Linked DNA regions of Xenopus tropicalis. The protein of the gene in region 4 interacts with the protein of the main gene of each other region in a biochemical or structural test. Links are inferred from orthologs where the notes say so. Each region holds a gene or a part of one and is shown on either strand. Other genes may lie near its edges.

The links.
Region 1: the proteins of wwp2 (region 4) and pten form a complex in vitro, tested with the Homo sapiens proteins (7 studies listed by BioGRID, with this or other methods). The link is inferred for Xenopus tropicalis from reciprocal best matches to the Homo sapiens genes WWP2 and PTEN.
Region 2: the proteins of wwp2 (region 4) and cdc34 form a complex in vitro, tested with the Homo sapiens proteins (2 studies listed by BioGRID, with this or other methods). The link is inferred for Xenopus tropicalis from reciprocal best matches to the Homo sapiens genes WWP2 and CDC34.
Region 3: the proteins of wwp2 (region 4) and wbp2 form a complex in vitro, tested with the Homo sapiens proteins (4 studies listed by BioGRID, with this or other methods). The link is inferred for Xenopus tropicalis from reciprocal best matches to the Homo sapiens genes WWP2 and WBP2.
Region 5: the proteins of wwp2 (region 4) and smad7 are reported together in a solved structure, tested with the Homo sapiens proteins (2 studies listed by BioGRID, with this or other methods). The link is inferred for Xenopus tropicalis from reciprocal best matches to the Homo sapiens genes WWP2 and SMAD7.

What each region holds. Positions count from the first base shown.
Region 1 is NC_030683.2:12,943,763-12,947,368, forward strand, and holds part of pten (phosphatidylinositol 3,4,5-trisphosphate 3-phosphatase and dual-specificity protein phosphatase PTEN), read right to left. Parts: intron 1,523-3,606; coding exon 1,359-1,522; intron 1-1,358. UniProt on the Homo sapiens protein: Dual-specificity protein phosphatase, dephosphorylating tyrosine-, serine- and threonine-phosphorylated proteins.
Region 2 is NC_030677.2:105,629,555-105,633,670, reverse strand, and holds the start of cdc34 (ubiquitin-conjugating enzyme E2 R1), read right to left. Parts: upstream 2,819-4,116; 5' UTR 2,662-2,818; coding exon 2,479-2,661; intron 86-2,478; coding exon 1-85. UniProt on the Homo sapiens protein: E2 ubiquitin-conjugating enzyme that accepts ubiquitin from an E1 ubiquitin-activating protein, and catalyzes its covalent attachment to other proteins by an E3 ubiquitin-protein ligase complex. In vitro catalyzes 'Lys-48'-linked polyubiquitination.
Region 3 is NC_030686.2:44,869,563-44,873,888, reverse strand, and holds the start of wbp2 (WW domain-binding protein 2), read left to right. Parts: upstream 1-1,480; 5' UTR 1,481-1,547; coding exon 1,548-1,606; intron 1,607-2,833; coding exon 2,834-2,942; intron 2,943-3,649; coding exon 3,650-3,785; intron 3,786-3,929; coding exon 3,930-4,022; intron 4,023-4,238; coding exon 4,239-4,326. UniProt on the Homo sapiens protein: Acts as a transcriptional coactivator of estrogen and progesterone receptors (ESR1 and PGR) upon hormone activation. In presence of estrogen, binds to ESR1-responsive promoters. Synergizes with YAP1 to enhance PGR activity.
Region 4 is NC_030680.2:60,922,901-60,927,286, forward strand, and holds the start of wwp2 (NEDD4-like E3 ubiquitin-protein ligase WWP2), read right to left. Parts: upstream 2,877-4,386; 5' UTR 2,838-2,876; intron 1-2,837. UniProt on the Homo sapiens protein: E3 ubiquitin-protein ligase which accepts ubiquitin from an E2 ubiquitin-conjugating enzyme in the form of a thioester and then directly transfers the ubiquitin to targeted substrates.
Region 5 is NC_030677.2:205,594,042-205,598,192, forward strand, and holds the start of smad7 (mothers against decapentaplegic homolog 7), read right to left. Parts: upstream 2,834-4,151; 5' UTR 1,771-2,833; coding exon 1,290-1,770; intron 1-1,289. UniProt on the Homo sapiens protein: Antagonist of signaling by TGF-beta (transforming growth factor) type 1 receptor superfamily members; has been shown to inhibit TGF-beta (Transforming growth factor) and activin signaling by associating with their receptors thus preventing SMAD2 access.

The DNA.
Region 1 (3,606 bases), on a different chromosome or scaffold from region 4:
GACTGTCTATATGTGCACTGGGGTTCATTTGGAAGGGTTGAACTTGTTGGACTTTGGTCTTTTTTCAACCCAACTTAACTATATTATATATGTGTGTGTTTTTCTGAACAGGAGATTTTCAGAACTCCCACATGTTGCATTATTTGCCTTTTTTGACAAGTTTACAAAAGCAAAACGTCTTATTCCAATCCAAACCTTATTTCCGTGTAAGATAAACAAGGGCCTACTTGCCTGTGTAAATAAATTCCATCAGTTATACAAAAGCATAAATAGTGCGGTCAACATTTAGGGCGCTGTAGCACACAGCAGATTGACTAACAGTGGTTCCCAAGGAAACCAATGGCAAGAACAGAGGACTACTTATTAGAAAAGATAAAAAATGCCCTGTGACTGGGGGGTATAAAGACATTGGCTAGTGGCTGTGCTTAAATGCAGGAAGAGAAACAGCCCCCGCTGCAGCCTGAGAGTCGGCCCCGTGTGTGACTTGCTATCACAAGTAGCTGTGATTAAAGTACATGCCCCACAGCCCCAATGTTTAGTCTACAGTGCCACAAGTGTAAATGATCAACTGATAATCAATGCTGTCAGATAAAGGCTACTTTGTTGCAAAGGAAGAACAGTTTGCTTTATTTTTTATGATTCCTTTCTTCCTCAAACGATAAAAAAAAAACCTACAATATTCCACAGTGCCTTCACGCATGAGCCACCAATGGGAAGGCAAGGAGAGATGAAGCTGGCGTTCGTTCCCACAGGTCAGGGTTCAGCCTTAAACTAGTGTGTGGCTCTGTTTCACAGGGTGTACTTGCAAGTAGCTTGTGTGTAAATATTTAATTCAAGTGACAGAGCAGAGGTATGGCTGATAAGAGCCGGTCATTTATAGTTAATTACAGCTACACGTGATGCAAATAACGTCCCAGATGCAAACGTTCACATCGCCATACAGATTAAACAGGAATATTAGTCGGAATAAATGGACCAGACATTCTCTTTATGAGTGTGTGTGCACCACGTTTGTGCCAGGGCACCGTACCCAAAGCTGCCAGAGTCTTCAGGGGCAAGAAATCCAACGCCGTAAGGGTGAAGACACACTGAGCTACTAGTAGCAGCTACTTTTTCATGGCTACTAAACTCCAGAAAATCCCCTGCCATAGACAATACCGAGAACTGACCCTGCTAAAACACACGTAGAGACAATTATCAGTAAATAATCAGCATTGTCTATTTTAGTAGCCACGACAAGTAGCTGCTACTAGTAGCTCCGTGTCTCTTCACCCTAAATGGACACTTGTGCAGTTGTTGTGTAACCGTGTGTGAACATATTTATAACATTGCTTAGAAAAAAAATAAGCCACACTAACCTTTTTCATCACTTTGTTCTGTTTGTGGAAAAATTCTACCTTGATATCCCCGCAAACGGGCAAAGGCTGGGGGAAATCAAAATACATCAACTTCTCGATGCGCTTGGGACCTGCTGTTGAGGTGAAGATCTTGACTTTCAGCTGGTAAACGACAAACTGGGGATCTAGGAGAATACAGAGAGGTTGTTAGTTGGTCTGAAGGAAAGCAGGTTATTGAGAAAGAAAAGCCTGTTGTTCTAGGGTGAAGACACACAGATACTAGTAGCAGCTACAGATACAGACAATGCTGATCATTTACTGATAATTGTCTCTACGTGTGTTTTAGCAGAGGCAATTCTCAGTATTGTCTATGGCAGGGGATTTTCTGGCATTTAGTAGCCGTGACAAGTAGCTGCTACTAGTAACTCTGTGTGTCTTCCTTAATGTCACATCAGAGATCTGATGTCTGCACCATTGTATCATTTAAACCAGTGTTTTTCAACCTTTTTTGGGGAAAGGCACACTTGTTTCATGAAAAAAATCACGAGGCACACCACCATTAGAAAATGTTAAAAAATTTAACTCTGTGCCCAGCAGCAGTGCCCCCCTAGTACACTGGTGCCCAGCAGCAGTGCCCCCCTAGTACATTGGTGCCAAGAGCAGTGCCCCCCTGTTACATTGGTGCCCAGCAGCAGTGCCCCCCTAGTACATTGGTGCCAAGAGCAGTGCCCCTCTAGTACATTGGTGCCCAGCAGCAGTGCCCCCCTAGTACATTGGTGCCAAGAGCCAGCCCCCCTAGTACATTGGTGCCCAGCAGCAGTGCCCCCATAAGTCAGTGTGCCCCGTGGCCCCCCTTAATACATTGGTGCCCAGCAGCATTTTACTCTTCGGCGGCTTCAGCAGCATCTTCCCCTCACGCGCGCCGCCTCTGCACTTCTGCCTACACGCGACCGCACACAGGCCCTTTTATAACGTTGCGCCCCGTGCGTACTGACGTCACCCATACACACGGGGCGCAACCAATGACAGGGCTCGGATTTTTTTTAAAGTAAAAATTGCGGCCCTGCCTACGGCACACCAGGCAACATCTCGGAACAGCGGTTGAAAAACGCTGATTTAAAAGATGTGGTTTATTTGCTTATAATCATCCCTTGGAGTAGGGCCCCAGCCTCTATTCTTAGAGGTCTTGCAAGCATTTTCCCATGTTATAGTTTATAAAGAAAATGACATATACATATTTTGGCAATGCCCTATTAACTAGGACTATTGGGGAGGGGGGGGTTGTAGTTACTGGAATGAAACTCTGCTATACAAGCCCGGCTTCTTTGGCCCATGGTGATCAATGTTTTGCATTTCTAGCCTGTTCTTTGTTAGGCTTTAGTTGTCCATTATTAAAGGAATTTGTGTACTAGCCTTAGGCCACAACAGCCCATTAGCAATATTGATGCCCCCAGTAGCTTCCCATCTTCTTTTCTGCCGATGCCCTGGGCTGCCGCCATTTACCTCACTAACAATGTATAGTATACACACAATGTAAATTCACCATACAATGCTGAATTCACATTTGCAATATAGGGCAGTAAACAAACTAGTCCATTCTCTGGAATCCCATTATCTAGAAAGTTCTAAATTACAGAAAGTCTATGGGAGATGGCCTATTATAAGCAAATCATTCTAATTACTGAAAATTATTTCCTTTTTCTCTGTAATAAAACAGTACCTGTACTTGATCCCAAGATATAATTACCCCTTATTGGGGGCAGAACAGCCCTATTGGGTTTATTTCATGGTTAAATGATTCCCTTTTCTCTGTAATAATAAAACAGTACCTGTACTTGATCCCAACTAAGATATAATTACCCCTTATTGGGGGCAGAACAGCCCTATTGGGTTTATTTCATGGTTAAATGATTCCCTTTTCTCTGTAATAATAAAACAGTACCTGTACTTGATCCCAACTAAGATATAATTACCCCTTATTGGGGCAGAACAGCCCTATTGGGTTTATTTAATGGTTAAATGATTCCCTTTTCTCTGTAATAATAAAACAGTACCTGTACGTGATCCCAACTAAGATATAATTACCCCTTATTGGGGGCAGAACAGCCCTATTGGGTTTATTTAATGGTTAAATGATTCCCTTTTCTCTGTAATAATAAAACAGTATCTGTACTTGATCCCAACTAAGATATAATTACCCCTTATTGGGGCAGAACAGCCCTGCTGGGTTTATTTAATGGTTAAATGATTCCCTTTTCTCTGTAATAAT
Region 2 (4,116 bases), on a different chromosome or scaffold from region 4:
CATAGATGTTAGGATGCCACATCTTTGTCAAAAAACGAAACGCAGGAGGAGAGTAGGGGTAATCAACTGGAAATTTTAAGCGGGCCTAGGACAAAAAGAACATGTAATGGTTAACAAGCAAGTGAGTATGGTTGAGATCCATGCCTTTGTTATAACACACCGTAGCTCCGATTAGCACAAAATAATGGTTCTCAAGCAACATATCTAAGAGTAGATCAACCAAATTTCAGTCTATTAAAAAAAAAAGTGTAATTTATTAATTTTTTACTTGTTTGCTCTCTTTCTGTAGTAACAATAAAACAGTATCTTGTGCTTTATGATAACTAAGCTAACATAAATCCATGTTTCTGGCTAAAAGATCATCTTGGTTTTTATTTTTAAATGCTTCAGCAGGCCATAAACGGGCCAATAAAAGCTGCTAGGTCAGTGCCTCCAGGCCAAATTAACAGCTTATTGGCTCGTGTATAGGGCCCGTCTGACCAATAGCTGATCAATTTTCAATACGGCAAGTTTGAAAATCCTATTGAATGAGGGTGCATTGGCACTCTGAATGTGGCTATCATGCAAGAGGCCCCAATAAAAGATTTGAATTATGTCCAAAAGCTTTCAGAATAATAGATCTCATACTTATAGAACTGCATGATGGGTAAGCAAGCTCAGCTGTCATCAGATTAATGATAAGTAAATAAAAAATAAGGTCTGTTTTCAGTTCCAGGGAGGCTGGATAATGAGATGCACCAATTCCAGAGTTTTATGATTCAAACCTTTGTAAAAGATTTGGCCTAATACCGAACCAAACTCTAATTTGCATTTGAAAACTAACCTATAAAAGGAATAAAAATGTTCAACTTCTGGGTTTACATAAAGAAATAGTGATTTTAAGGATTCAGATTTGGTTCAACCAGGCACATGGATTCGTCTGAATCCGAATCCTGTTGAAAAAGGCAGAATCTTGGCCAAACGCCGAAACAAATCCTGGATTCAGTGTATCCCTAATAATATGTATATTATACATATATTGAAAGTGGTGGTTCACCTTTGAGTTAACTTTTAGTATGTTATAGAAAGGCCAATTCTAAGCAACTTTTCAATTAGTCATTATGTTTTTCATAGTTTTTGAATTATTTACTCTTTGCAGCTTTCAAAGGGGGGTCACTGACCCCCAAGCCAAAGAACTATTGTTCTGCGAAGCTATAGTTTAACTGTTATTGTACATTACTTATGTTTCTATTCAGGCCCTCTCGTATTTATATATCAGTCTTTTATTCAAATCACACCATGGTGGCTTAGGTAATTTGGATCCAAGCAACCAAATAGCTGCTGAAACTCCAAGCTGGAGACAACCAAAAACTGAAATAATTAAAAAAAACTACAAATAAAAAATGAAAACCAGTTGCAAATTGTTTCAGAATATTACGCTCTACATCATACTAAAAATTAAGTAAAAGGTGGACAACCCCTTTAAAGGGGTTGTGCACCTTTGACTTAACTTTTTAGTATGATTTTTTTTTGGCTCAGGGGTCAGTGACCCCATTTGAAAGCTGCAAAGAGTTAGGACAAGGAGGCAAATAAATTAAGAAACTATGAAAAACAAATAATGAAGAATATTCGAAAAGTTGATTAGAATAGGTCTTTATATAAGATACTAAAAGTTAACTTAAAGGTGAACCACCCCTGTAAAACACAATTACATTGTTCTAGCCATTTAACATCTCATTATAAACCCCTATTAAATTTCTTGATCTGTGCAAATGTCTAGGAATAAGTAGTCCCTTGAAACTAATATTATATATATATATATATATATATATATATATATATATATATATATATACACACACACTATAGAAGGCACATCTTAACAAAACTGCCCAAAACTAAGTATAGAGACCCCTTTAATCCTTAAAAGAATGAGGCTTCATACATGTAGCTAGTATGGCATACTAAAATGTAAAAGAGTGGAACGCCTATGTTTGATTAATCTTCTGAAAATCTTTATGAAATAGGCACAGGATGAATACATATAAACCCAGGGTATCTCCACAAACACAAAGTGCCAAATCAGAAGTTAGATGAAGAGTTTAGAGCGTTTTCCTGTTACACAAAGGCCTTTATTGCTTTCTAACACCGTGCATCCTGTGGCTGGGGCCTAGCAGCTGTTGTTGGACTACAACTCGCAGAAAACAGGATTAAAGATTTAGTAGTGCCACACTCTTTCAGTAAGTTTTAGTTTTGGGGTAGCTTTGAGGGCTGGTTGAGTTTCATGTGAAACATTAGTTTCGGGCAAGTTACGGCTATGGCTGTAGGAGTCACATAAACAAAGGAAAGCTTGTTGTGCAGAAAGGCCCAGCGATGTACGCAATACCCACCCACGCCTCTATTACTTACTGCCTCTTTAAATACCCCCCAGCGTGGCTTTCCCTCCCCAAGGCCCCTATGATCACGAACTCCACCATTTCACACACACCTAACCCTCACCTTGAAGTACCCCCCCTCATAGAGGGTGTTTGGGGGGCCAAAGATTGCCACCTCCCAGTTGTACAGATCCCCCTCATCTACCAGGGTGACCCGGAACCCCTCCACCGGCTCTTCCTGTAGCCCCTTGAGTTCCAGCATCAAGGCCTTCTGAGAGCTGGGCACCGGCGCCACCGGCCGGGCCATGGTAGTTCCGCTCCCCGCTTTCTAACCAGGAGCCCACAGCGTCCTCCGCGTAGGGCAGGATGGGATCAGTAGGCTTTTGGTGTTTTAGCAAGAAGGGGCTGCTAGACGACTAAAGGCTTTATTACGACATGTTACGGCACAACGGAGCCGCTTTGCGAATTAACTTGCTGGCTGGAAGAGTAACGGGTGCCGGAAACTGCAAGTGAAGCCACGGCGTTGTGGGAGGAGCAGCCTACAAATCCCACAAGCCCACGAACACTGTGACGCACTGGTGCGAGGGAAGTGTAATCTGAGCGGAGGAAGGAGGGGTCTTGCTGAGGCTGATGGGAACAAAGCTAGATGTTGGTTTCTAGTGGGGAAACGTGATTTACAGAGCTTTTATTTAGTAGTGCAGTAGAAAACTTCAACTTGACACAAAGTTTCTGAATGAACAGTGAATATATCCTTTAATCTCCTAGAATATAACCTTCTAATACAGCTCACCTTAAAGGGCACCTATCACCCTCAAATTGTTTCCCTCATCAGAGGTTAGGGAAACAATAGCTTTTTGTGAAAAAAAAAAAAGCTCCTACCATTGCTAGGCTGCCTGCAGCAGAAGAGTGCTCCAGGTGTGGGCAGCCATATTGCCTCATTTCTCACAATGTGCATAATGAGTGAGTGCCACAAGTTGCTTATTATGTGCATGCTTGTGATGGAGGGTGAATTGCATCCACCACGCCTAGATCAGGCGCATGCGCATCATCTGCAAGTGGAAAGGCGCATTTATTATGCCCACGCATGGCAAACAACATGGTTGCCTGTACTGGGAGCTTCATTCAGGTGCGGGCAGCCTAGAAATGGCAGTTGCTGTATTTTTTAAAAACCAAACTATCGTTTTCCCTCAACCAAAGTGCTGCGTCTATTAGCCTGCACCTCTGGTGGGAGAAGCAGTTAAAGGGTCATAGGTGCACTTTAAAGGACAGGGAAACTTAGATTCAGTGGGTGGCAATTTATTGGGTGCCCCCAACACTTTCCATCAGGCCGGTGCTACACTTTGTAAAATGCCACTTCACTACTACTAGTTAAAGACTAGTTGCTTCCTACTCCATGTACGGTGTTGTAAACAGTAGCATAAGTAGAAGTTACTAGGCCCTGAAAAATCATTTTGGCACACCTTGAAATTAGAAATAATATCTTTCATATACATATAATGAAACTACTTATTATTCAGCAGGCTCCCAACAGTCACAGGGTGTGCTTGCTTTAAAGTTACATTCCTTGTTAAAGGAGATCTAAACCCTTAAAAATTAATATGGCAAGAAGTTGGGAAGTTTTTATATACTGGACTTATTGCTCCAGCCTAAAGGTTTAGCATATTTATTATAGTACTGATCCAGTATTTCAGAGTTGTCACAGGGAATGACTCTGTTAGAAGAGTCTGTGACACTCACATGCTCAGTGTGCTCTGGGCAGTGG
Region 3 (4,326 bases), on a different chromosome or scaffold from region 4:
AGGGTACTCACCCGTGCGGCCCGTTCTCGCACGCCTCCTTGCGCGCGCGTCCCGTTGTCCGCGGGACATTGCGCACGCGCGTCCAGGTGTGTGTGCGTCAAAGCGCACGTACATGTCAAAGCGTGCACGTCCGCGACGCGCTAACGGCGCCGGTTCTGCGCATGCGTGGGGGGTATTTAAAGCTATCAAACGCCTCCTCCTGTGCTATGTTGTCTGCGGCCTTGCCTGGGAAACTAAGCCTGCCTGATTTACCTTACGACTTTCTGTTGCCGATCCTTCGCTTGCCTGACTCTGATTTTCAATACTACAGTAATTATTCTCTAATTTATTAGGAAATGGGGTTAACACCTAATCATGCATGGAAAAAAAAAAATACCGTCAAATACAGCGACACCGATATCATTTTGAAAAATACTGCAATATAAATTTTTGGCCATACCGCCCAGCTCTAATTTCTACCTCCTTCTGCCGATTCAGCGCTGAAGGCAGATTTTGCTCAGGCGCCTTCTACGGTGCCCAAACAAAATCTTTTAACCGGTCCGATTGGTGAGTCGACAGCCTTCTGTGATATCGGCCGCCTCGCCGAGTTGCCATACACGCACCGAATATCGTATGAAACGAGGTTACGTATATTATCGGTGCGTGTATGGCGGCTTTACCCTGGCAATACCGGACCCACCGTATGTTAGAGAAACGCAACGTAATACTTACCTGTAAGATAACTTTACCTCAACTAATATATACATCGACCAGTTAGAGACCTTCTTGTATTTCCGCCGCTATACTAAGGGGCTGATTTACTAATCCACGAATCCGAATGGGAAAAATTTGGATTGTAAAACGAACATTTTGCGACTTTTTCATATTTTTTGTGACTTTTTCGTAGCCGTTACGACTTGCGCGAATTGTCGCGACTTTCGTATTGAGCGCTCGAAAAAGTCACAAAATACCGATCATTACGAAAAAAAAACACTTTTTGGACGTTCGTGGGTTAGTAAATGTGCCCCTAAGTGTAAGAAGGGGCGAAGCAACTACGCGGGGAGTATGAAATAGCTTAATATCAGCCCTGTGATAACCTCAATTGGGATTGTATGAAATCCTGTTAGGAGAGGTTTGTAGTGAAGTAGTATGTTTAACTAACTAATTGGCCGATATAACTGTACAAAATAAGATTGGATATTCCCCATAAAGTAGAATTTAACACTTACTGCCCTGAATAGCCGCCCAAACACAGCGCTACATTGGTAACAACCGTAATACACGGAGCAGCTCTGCGCCTCAGCGCTAAGTGATCGTTACAATGAAGTATTAGCAACGCAGAAACACAACTACAACATTAGCGCCTCAAGCGGCCATGGTTTATTTTCAGTGATACACGCCCCCTAGCGATCAAGAACACATGCCAGTCATAGATCCCTCAGCCAATGAGCGGCCGGCCCTACAGCAGTGGAACCGCCCAGACTGCGTCTCAAAGTGCGAGAGACTCTTCGAGCACGGTGATTGGCTGTTGCTAGGCTGCGGAGGTGTGACCTTTTTATCTCCGCAATATGGCCCTTAACAGGAACCACCTGGATGGCGGAGGTGCAGTAATTAACAACAGCGAGAGGTAGGACAGCGGCTAAGTAGAGAGACAGTCGCGGGAAGCAGTCAGCGAAACGTTAGACGGACCCCCTGCATGAATATGGGTTCCGGGTATCTGTCATCATATATGGGGCGGAGCTTGGACATGACGAGCAGGGATTTGTGCCAATTATGGAGCTGATACAGATACACCCGCCTCCCTCTCTTTGCCTGTCTGCTGTACTATTTGTATAATATTGTGTGTGTTTTCCTATTCCCAGGCACAATATACTTAATTCTATCAGCATATCTATATATAATATGTCCCACATGTATCCCTTGTGAGATTTACTTACTAAACCCCCTTTATTATTATTTATATTATTAATTTAATATAATATTCTTATGAAGCACTTACATAATCACATGATACAGTGGAGGGGTGTATACAGTGCTGCAATATGTAGGAGATATTTAACGCTCAGACCCGGGGAAGGCAGAGTGACCCTGGAGATTATAGGAGGCCCCATAGGGCACTGACTGATAAGCAGTTTTAATAGCTTTATTATAAAAAATGTCTTATTCCTAAAGTTTATTGGGGCGCTAAAATGATTTTGCTATAGGGCTCAGTTATGCCACTGAAACCGCGTATCATTCAGTGTTCTGTTGGATCTCTTACGGTGTCGGACTGGCCCACAAGGATAGCAGGAAAACTCCCGGTGGGCCCAGATGTCAGTGGGCCCTCCTGCTCCTCAGCATTTGGCCTGCTTCATGGTCATTCCCTGTTTCTGAATGGGAACAAAGAAGAGAAATAGATGGAAGAATAGATGCTAGCATGTAAATAAAAGAGACTAGGAGAATAAAGAGGTTGGGTGAGGAAAGGAGGAAAAATAGTTTGGAAAAGCGGCCTGGGGTCTAAGGTTTTCTGGTGGGCCTCTGGGTTCCCAGTCTGACACTGATCTCTTATACCTTGGCAGTTGCAGGGTCTTCTTCCTCTACATTTACACCCTTGGGCACTCCTCTTATTCCTCAAACAGATAGTCAGTTTGGCCCAATATCATGAAGATGCACAATAACCACCCCCCACACACACCACACCCCCAAGGGGTCCCCATCATCCCAAACCCCCCAGTCTGGTGGAGGGACGTCAGTTCAGGAACACCAGCAGGGATCGAGGGGCCCGCTTGGTTTTTTCCCGGTGTCCAGCTGGCAGTTCGTCTTTGACTACTAAACTGCACTGTTCTCATTGAACTTGCCCTTTATTATCTTCCAGTATCCTTACTTCTTATGAACATGTGGAGGTCACATTTAGTGACATGGACAGCACCCCAGAGGCTTTCAGAGGGACCAAGAAAGGCAGAGTCATTCTGACACCATATCGAGTAAGTCTGCCTCCCTTTTCCTTCACTCATTAGGTGCAGTCTGACTCATTGGCACCATGGAATAAACTGCTAATGTGCAACTAAACTTTCCATTAGGTCAGAGAAGACACTTGGGGGTTATGTAATTAAAAAAACTAAATTTGCCCAGGAACAGTAACCCATAGCAACCAGTCAGCAGGTAGAATATACTTATTGGTTGCTGTGGGTTATTGCTATCAGGCAAACTTAAGGTTTAATCGAGTGGATCATTTCCACCTAAGGTGGGCAAAATTTGGCTAAATCGATTGTTTCGCCACCTGCCCATTTTTATCCAGATATTGGTTGGGTAGGCCTGCTGGGGGGCCCCATGGGCAGATAAGCGCCCGAAACGGTCTGAAGGACTCAAATCGGCAACTTAGATTTGCCAGTGTATGCCAAACTTTAGTGTCATTTATTACATATAGGGCTAGTGCCCTTCTACACCTCCTTAATAAAAGTCACAGAGGGGATCCATGAACATATAAAGGCGGCACAAAATCACTTTAATACAGGCCCTAAAGCTTTGAGGTGTCTAATATTCTCTCATTTTATTCCAAGGGGGTACATTATTCTTTCAGTTATTATTATTTCAGTGAGTCATGTGACACAGATTCTAACCTATTTATAAGCATATCTTTTACGGCTCTTGTGTATTATGCATGTGGGTGAGGCTAATTTTGCATCCACAGGTGATATTTGTGTCCAAAGGAAGGGACCCCATGCAGTCGTTCATGATGCCCTTCTATCTGATGAAGGACTGTGAAATTAAGCAGCCCGTATTTGGAGCCAATTTTATCAAGGGCAACGTGAGAGCTGAGCCTGGAGGTGAGCAGTGTTACTATCTGACGGATACCTATGCGTTCTAGGTCCCACTTCAGCTCCTGGGACACCTGCCTTTATTTTTTGCTAATATAATTTGCTGTAGGTTAAATATATCTTTTAATCTGGAATTCATTTCTTTGCCTGCAGGTGGTTGGGAAGGATCTGCTACATTTAAACTAAGCTTTCCTTCAGGGGGCGCTATAGAGTTCGGCCAGCACATGCTACACGTGGCCTCTCAAGGTGAGCAGGGGGTATCTGAAGTCACAATCTCTTGACATTTAGTCTGGACTCCCAGGACTACCTAGGAGAGCAAATACACATTTGCCACAAGCCCCACACCTCGGGGAAAAGATTTAAAGGGAAATCCCAATGGGTCAGAAATTCTGCCTCAGCCTTTGCAATGCACTTTTTCCTTTACCCATTTTTATAAAATATGGTTTCTACTCGCCCTTGTAGCCTCAAGTGGAGGAGCTCCAAATGTTGCCTACCCATATATGCCCAATGGGGGCTACGTCTTCCCACCTCCTGCAGCCAATGGCATCTA
Region 4 (4,386 bases):
GAAAAAAGGAGAAAAGGCACAGGTTACATAGCAGATAACAGATAAGCTCTGTAAAATACAATAGTGTTTTATCTGTTATCTGCTATGTGCCTGTGCCTTTTCTCCTTTGAATGGCTGCCCCCATGGCTAGATAGCAGCTTATTTATATAAATTATAGTAGACTTTCTGAAGTAAACACACAACTTTTACCAGTGCAGGGCAGCAGCACATTATATTTTAGTTACTTTTATACACTTTCATTTTTTGGTGTTACTGTTCCTTTAAGTCAAGTTTTGTGTTGGATAAAGTACAGGTATGGGACCCATTATCCAGAATGCTCGGGACGTGGGGTTTTCTGGATAAGGGGTCTGTAATTCAGATCTCCTACCTTAAGTCTGCTAATAAAATTATTTAAACAGTAATTAAACCCAATAGGATTATTTTGTATCCAATAAGGATTAATTATGTCTTAGTTGGGATCAAGTACAAGGTTCTGTTTTATTACTACTGAGAAAAAGGAAATCATTTTTAAAAATGTGAATTATTTGATTAAAATTGGGTCTATGGGAGATGGCCTTTTCCTAATTTGGAACTTTCTGGATAATGGGTTTCCAGATAAGGGGTCTGATACCTGTACCAGGCAAATCCAAAAATAATGGATTCTGTGCATCCCTTCAACACAGCAAAAGTATGAACAGGGAGGACAAACATTTCAATATTGAGTTCTATGATGCATAAGAGGAAGGAGCCCATAGTTTACAATGGGTAGATAACATACAGACACAAAGGTTTGGGAATTGGCCCTTAATTGTTCTAGAACTCAAAATGGTAGAATCAGAGTTTCTTTTTGAAGAGGTTGAGAGACTGCCTCTTACGGAGCATTTCATGGATGAAAATACAGAAGTAAGGATCAGAAGCAGAGAAAGGTTATAAAATGAGATATGGAAGTGGATGTGGATATTATGTAAAGGCAGTGGCTCTGAATGAAACAGATGAGCCAGACAGAGAAAAGAATGGGGAAATGTAACACAGGTTAAATGATCAGCAGAAGATGTGTAAACTATTGTTTAATTAAAGGAACAGTAACACCAAATGATGAAAGTAATTATAATATAATATAAAGTTGCCCTGCACTGGAAACACTAATCTGTTTGCTTTAGAAACTCTACTATATTTATATAAATACCCTGCTGTGTAGCCATGGGGGCAGCCATTCAAGCTCGAAAAAAGACACAGGTTACATAGTAAATAACAAATAGGTCCTGTAGAATACAATTATGTTTTATCTGTTATCTGCTACATGATTTATGTCTTTTCTCCTTTTTTCCAGCTTGAATGGCTGCCCCTATGTCACATTTTATTTGAATTACTTTAAAACATTTTCATTTTTTGGTTTAACAGTTCCTTGTTTAAAGCGATACTGACATGTTCCTATGAAAATCCATAGGAACATATCAGTATTACTAAAACATTGCAGCACAAAAATATGTCCAGCCAAAGGACTGCCAAAGCCCAGCAGTACCTAGCTGTCAAGAAAGGGAAAGTGAATAAAAGAAGAGGTGCTATTTTCTTGGGTCATGCTGGACTGGGGTCAGCACAATCCTTTCATAGGTTAATAAGAAATAAAGCTAGTTCTTCAGCCTATGGAAGGATTACATTGCCTTAAGCCCAGTGTTAATGACACAACTACAGAGCATCCTTTAGCTATGTCAGATTGTGGGCTCAGGTAAGTATAGCTGAGCTAGGGATGTCTTTGGGGGAATTTTAGCTAGAAGGTATTTGGTGCAAAAACTCTTTAATAATACTTACACATTCTAATTATTTTTTATAGGAACATGTCAGTATAGCTCTACTAGGCTGCCAAGATAAAAAATTTTAACTGAGGGCAAGGTGGAATCTAGCAGCTGAGTTTAAAACAATGGAGAAAAAGGTGTGAGTCTGGGATGTATGTATGTATATTTTTATGTATAAAGCGCTACTTATGTACGCAGAGCTGTACAGTAGTGTACGCAGCGCTGGGATGGCACGATGCGTGTTTTAGCAGTTGCTTGAGAAAGAAAATCAGGGAACATGACAGTATTTTTAAGACGAAAGCAGAAGATTTTGGCAGTAGCATTAAAACAATCTGAGGATTAAAATGGTTAAAGATAAGTTCCAGGCAGCATGCTCAATTAACAATATTAATAAGCATGCCATCAAAGGTAATGCTAAAGAGATGAGACAGGCCAGATTTGGATGGCTAGACTACAGGATCCGTTTTTGTGAGGTTTATTTTGAGGTGGCACAGATTTATCCAGAAGGGAATACCTAGGAGTCAGCCAGAGATCTGGGTCTGCATGTCAGTGCTTCCTGGAAGGGTTTCTTAATATATCCTTATGTTAAATCGTTTTCCTTAACAGAGAGTGTACATGGCAAACAACATAATGATTGTGTCAGAGTTTTATAAGCTAGTGTAACAAGACCACTAACATAACTAGGAACCTTGTCACATATTTATGTTTTCGGTACAACACTGCGCACTGTTATGGCTTCTTGCCCTCCCACCACAATCCCAGTTCTCTCCTGAAATACAAAGTGCCCTCGAGCTATCGCCAATACACCGCTAGCAAAGTGTTTCAGTCTGCTGTCATATTCTCATTATTACACGAACACCATTACTAGGAACCTCCCCCAAACAAAGCAAACGTTCTCTGTACTTTAAATGTGTATTCCCCATCCCCTCACAATGTAAATCCAATCAATAACAAACAGCATAATATCTCTCTGCCTGCTTTATTCTTCCCCACTCTTCCAAATCAAATCTGTTTTACTGTCGCCGACCCTATGCTGTTCCGCCAAATTCTTTTATTTGTATTTACCTGCTACACCACTCTCTTCTTCACTTCCGCCTTCAGCACTTTCGGTCATGTGACCATTGGCCTTGTCACGTGACCCGGAAGAAAGTTTAGGTAGCACCGGATGCAGGAGGTGTTGGCGTTCTGTAGTGAGCTGCCATTTTACTATGGGGACGATATCCCGTGGGTTCTTAGCAACAATCTCTCTTTATCGTTCTTATTTCTCGGCACGCTAAAAGGCGTGAGGGACGTTTATATTCAATTAGTGAGTTACGGGAAGTGTCAGTTTTGCTATTGTGCGTACTCTAAGCACCGTTCCGCATTGTTTGTCTTATATTCTACTGTACTGGAAATGCAAAGCGATACAATTAAAGAATTTGTGTGAATTTTTTTCTACCTCGTTAAAAGATTTTTTGCATGGTCTGTAACCAATTGTGGTGTTGCTGCTTCTGGGATACAATGCTATGTTCTCTATTCTTTTAATATGTTTCCATATTGGTGACATTAGCAGCAAGTCTTATTTTTAGCAGCTGGGACGGCCAGGCGGCAGCCCCACCAACAATTCCCTATAAATAAGTGGACAGAAGATAATAACTAAGCTCGGATCTGCAACTGCCCGTTCATTGTTGATTTTTTAATGGATACCGTTGTTCCCCCCCCCGGTTGAAACATAGATATATTAATTTTTCTGGCATTACTATACTATGCATGCAGTGGCCCAGGGCAGCAGAGGAAGCTGTGGGGCATTAAATAAAAGATGATTGCACAGCACTCTAGTGGAGATTACCTTGGACCTATGTTAGAGTTTGTTCCCAAAGATGTTCAATGTATTGTCATTTTGCTGGAAGCTGTACTACTTTCCTCTCCCCTTTTTTCTTTCATTTATTCCACACATCTCTTGCTTTATATATTATGTATTGTTTAGAAAAAAAGTAGGGGGAACAACAGTTACTATATATATATATATATAATTTTATATGTAGCAAGAAGACAGGCACTCTCGTAAAAGTAGGTCCAAAGGAGCCTGGGTGCAGTTCCAAAATAATAGATGGAGTAGCTGTAGAGAGAGTCCGCACTCACAGGTCTTACAGAAAATATAGAGGTTTTATTCAAATCAACATCTAACGTTTCGGCTGCATCCACAGCCTTTCTCAAAGTCTTTGAGAAAGGCTGTGGATGCAGCCGAAACGTTAGATGTTGATTTGAATAAAACCTCTATATTTTCTGTAAGACCTGTGAGTGCGGACTCTCTCTACAGCTACTCTTTATATATATATACACATACACAAGGAAGAGTGGAGCACACCCTATAAAAGTTCAAATGCCCTGGGTGCTGGCTGGTTTGGCCTTTTGGTTTGTCCCTGAGGAAGAGTACAGTTAGTACTCTAAATGTTGGATTTTTTTGAATAAAATTTTTTCACTTTATCGTTAAGTCCTTGTGTGCGGCTCTCTGTCTATATATATATATATATATATATATATATATATATATAGTTTAAATATGAAGAATTCAAATCAGAATAGCAGAAGGGGAAAAGGCAGAGAAGATAATGAATAGAAAGGTGGTGATTCA
Region 5 (4,151 bases), on a different chromosome or scaffold from region 4:
CGTTGGGGAAAAGACTTTTTCGCTATTCGCGCATTATACGCACAGCCGTATATAAAAGTGCGCTGAAACTGCCGCCGGAGAAAGGGGCATTGAAGCAAAAAGAGGGGGTTTACGCTTTACACCCCAACTTTAATAGGGGTGTAATAATAAAAGTAGGCTGGTAAATAGGAAACAGGGGGGAGGGCATGATTAATAAACACATTAAGCAGAACAGAAATAAGCTTAAAAGGTAAATGAAGGGAAAAACAATATATTACTAGGGTATAAGTGCAATAAAGGGAGGGACAGCCCCGATCCATTGATGGGGGGATGAATGAGATGTCAGTAGTAACTACTCAGCCCCCTGGCACTGTCACTACTGTCATAGGGAATAATACCTAATAATGACATGAGCCGAGACCCCCCCCCCAGAAATACATAAGCCCCCCCCCCCCTTTATTGCCACTGATATTAGCCCAGCAGACCTGCTATAGGACTGGAGACTGGATGATAATGGGGTGTATCTTGTATATGAAGGTTTCCTGGCAAAGTGACACAAGGCACCCCCACAATCCGTGTGACCCCCCCCATTCCTTTCACACAGTACAACGGAATGACATAGTGACAATGACACCTCCCAGCTTACACAGCAGACTGTACCCCCACAGCACCCACCGTGCCCACTATCCCCAAGCCACACTGTCAGTTATACCAAGGGGCAAGTTACTCTGCCCTGCTATTAGCCACAGCGACCAATGTATCCAATGTGCTGTACCCATGAAACCCAGAGCCATGCCCCCTTTGCCATTCCCGCTATACCCAAGGATAAATATGGAAAAAGAATAGTTGTGCCCTGAGATAAATATGCCCAGTCATATACCCCATTATAACTGTGCCAAATGGCAGTAAATCAGTATCCCCATTACCCATCACAATATTGAACCCCCAAGCCTGTGGCTGCATTGAAATACTAATGCCAGACTGACCCTCTGATGCCAACTACACACACCAGCTGTGCCCAGTGGGTGCCAATGTCCCTGCAGGACAGGGTGGCAGTCAGAGCAAATCCACCCTGCCATGTGTGTGTGCCAGTCTGGGTGTCAAAGTCCCTGCAGGACAGGGTGGCAGTCAGAGCAAACCCACCCTGCCATGTGTGTGTGTGCCAGTCTGGGTGTCAAAGTCCCTGCAGGACAGGATGGCAGTCAGAGCAAACCCACCGTGCCATGTGTATGTGCCAGTCTGGATGGCAGTCAGAGCAAACCCACCCTGCCCTGTGTGTGAGTGCCAGTCTGGGTACAGGGGGCACCTACCTAGTTCGCACAGCCTGCTGAGATGGTGCGGGTTGCAGCAGACCAGCTCCGGGTTGTTCTTGCCATAGGAATCGCAGCAACTAAGTCGTTTGACCTCGGACGAGTGCCTGAGGTCCGGCCACCTGAAGACCTTGCAGAGCAGCAGCGGCAGGGAGAAGGGCTGCTGCCCCAGCCTGGAGTCCAGCTTGGCCGCCGGCAGCAACAGGCAGGGGCTGCGGGCTCCCCCTTTACACTCCACCGCCTGCAGCAGCCCCTCCAGCTGCTTCTCCTTCAGCTTCTTCAGCACGGAGTGGGCGAGGGCTTTCAGTTCTGCAGCCTCCGAGCCCCCCAGCGCCTTCCCGGGCACCTTATTCGCCGATTTGCCCAGGCAGCAACCCCCGGCTCCATGAACCCTCTCCCCGCCTTCCCCTTCCCCGCTCTCCCCGGGAGCTCGGCTCCTCCAGAGTCGCCGGACGAGCACCGATCGTTTGGTCCTGAACATGCGGGACGAGAGCAAGGCTTCCCGGCTAAACAACGTGCATGACGCCCGCAAATCATGAAGAATCCTGGATCCGAGGCCGGGCAGAGACCAGCAGCAGCAGCCCGGGAGGGTAGGGGGGAGCTGGGGGTCCGACAAGCCAAAGCGATCTGGAACATGCGCCAGTCTTTTAGGGGAAGAGATCCTGCAAAGTGCGGCGGGGGGATCCGAGTCGCAGCGACAGGAATACTGCAAACGGCAAGCAGCCGCCCCGGCTACACATACAGCGGGCTAATGCTGGGCAGCCGAGCCGGGAGCAGCGGGGCATTGAATGGAGCACAGAGCGCTGCCCGGCTTGGCCTGGGATCTAAAGGGCATTTATACACAATCCTCCCGGTAGGAAAGCGGGCTCCCCCCACAACTCGTACATCCACAAACGAGCGGGTCTGCCGATAATATCCCTTGTGTATGGGGGGCAAATGGGCAGAGAGTAGGGGCACTAGGGCGGCAGAACCTTATAGATAATCCGTACGCGATGCGGTTCCAGTAAAGAAGTAGAAGCCCTGGGTTGCGCCTCTCGCTTGTTTAATCCACAAGAAAAATCCTTTATCCGGCCGCTCAGTAGGAGAGAGGGGAAAAAAATAAAGTGGGACTTGTCTTTTCCTCCTTCTCAAAGGGCTGATCCGCCCCCGTCTGTGTTATGGAAATGTGCGATGGGGAGAGGGGGGGGGGAGAGGAGGAGGGACCGGCCGCACAGCGGAGACACGGCGAGGGGCAGCGGGGAGAGGACTGGTATCCCTCCGCTAACGAGGGCCGGCTATGGGGGTTCACTGGGGCACCTACACTCTACTGGGGGGGTGCTGTGTCCACAAAGCTCACACTCACAGCACCCAGTTACCAAGGGACTTCACCCTGCTCATTGCTGTCAGTGCCCCTCCTCTCTCCCTGACTGTCTCTCACTTCCCCCTCCCCTGTCTGTGCCTGTCTCTCTCTCTCCCCGGCTCTCTCGGCTCTGTCAGTCTCCTGTGCGCAATGGCGCGGCCCATCACGTGGGTGTCTAGACAGCCTGTCGCTTTAACAAAAAAAAAAAACCCCAAGGATTGTGTTGCGCAAAGGCTTCGGGTTACTGAAAGCTCCTCTTTTATGTCACAGTCAGTCATATGTGTGAGTCTGAGTGAGAGTGTGAGTGAGAGTGTGAGTCTGAGTGTGAGTGTGAGTCTGAGTGAGAGTGTGAGTCTGAGTGAGAGTGTGCACTATGCATTTAGTGGGGCATAAAGCCATCAGTGTAACATTAAAGGGGAGGTTAGCTTTTCAGTATGGCCAATTCTAAGCAACTTTTCAATTGGTCTTCATTATTTATTTTTATCATTTTTAAATTATTCCCCTTCTCCTGCCTCTTTCCAGCTTTCAAACAGGGGTCACCGACCCCCGCAACAAAAACTATGGCTCTGTGAGGCTACAATTTTATTGGTATTGTTACTTTTAATTACTTTTCTTTCTGTTTAGAAATATCAGTCTCTCATTGAAACCAATGCCTGGTCACCAGGGGCCCCCACACCCCCAGTAGGGACTCCCGCCGGCTGCCTCCCTGCGGCCCACCAGGTTTTTTCCTGGTGTCCCGTCGGCCCAGTCCAATCCTGCTGGTTGCTAAGGTAATTTGGACCCTAGCAACCAGATAGCTGCTGAAATTCCAATCTGGAGAGCTGCTGAACAAAAAGTGAAATAATTACAGAACTACAAAAAATAATGACAAACTGCAAATTATCTCAGAATATTACTCTCTATCTCATACTAAAAGTTAACTCAAAGGTGAACTACCTCTTTAGATGTAAGTACCTGGGTATAATAATTACTCCCAGTGGCAGGCTGATACACCTTTATGGCATTGCTGCTGCTGAGCTGTGGGAGAGGATGTAGGCTAAGGCTGTTAGGGGTTGCTGGGAGCTGTAGTTCAAGCTGTGGGGAGCAGATTGATTACTAATGAATAAACTGCTTGCAGGGCCTGGCAGGTATAAGGAGAATACATTATACATACTCGGGTTTCATGTTGTTTCTAACATAGAGGTAGTAGATGCATGGAGTGAGCTCTCCGGGGAGAGGGTATCGGCCTTAGTTATCAGCTCAGCTTGACTGTGCATGAATGGGGTTAAATGGCCGGCTTGTGATGTTGGAGGGGAAGTCGGGCTGAGAGGTTTCAGTGCAGGTTGTTAGGGCTGGACAAGTCCCCCTCGAGCCGCTACTTAAATCTCACTTTTGGCTCGTGACGTTTGGGTACAAAGTGTACATGTTGCAACGTCCGCAAGCTTGTCTCTAATTACTGTCTGCCTCCTACCTGTCCCTCTGTCTGCCTCCTACCTGTCCCTCTGTCTGCCTCCTACCTGTCCCTCTGTCTGCCTCCTACCTGT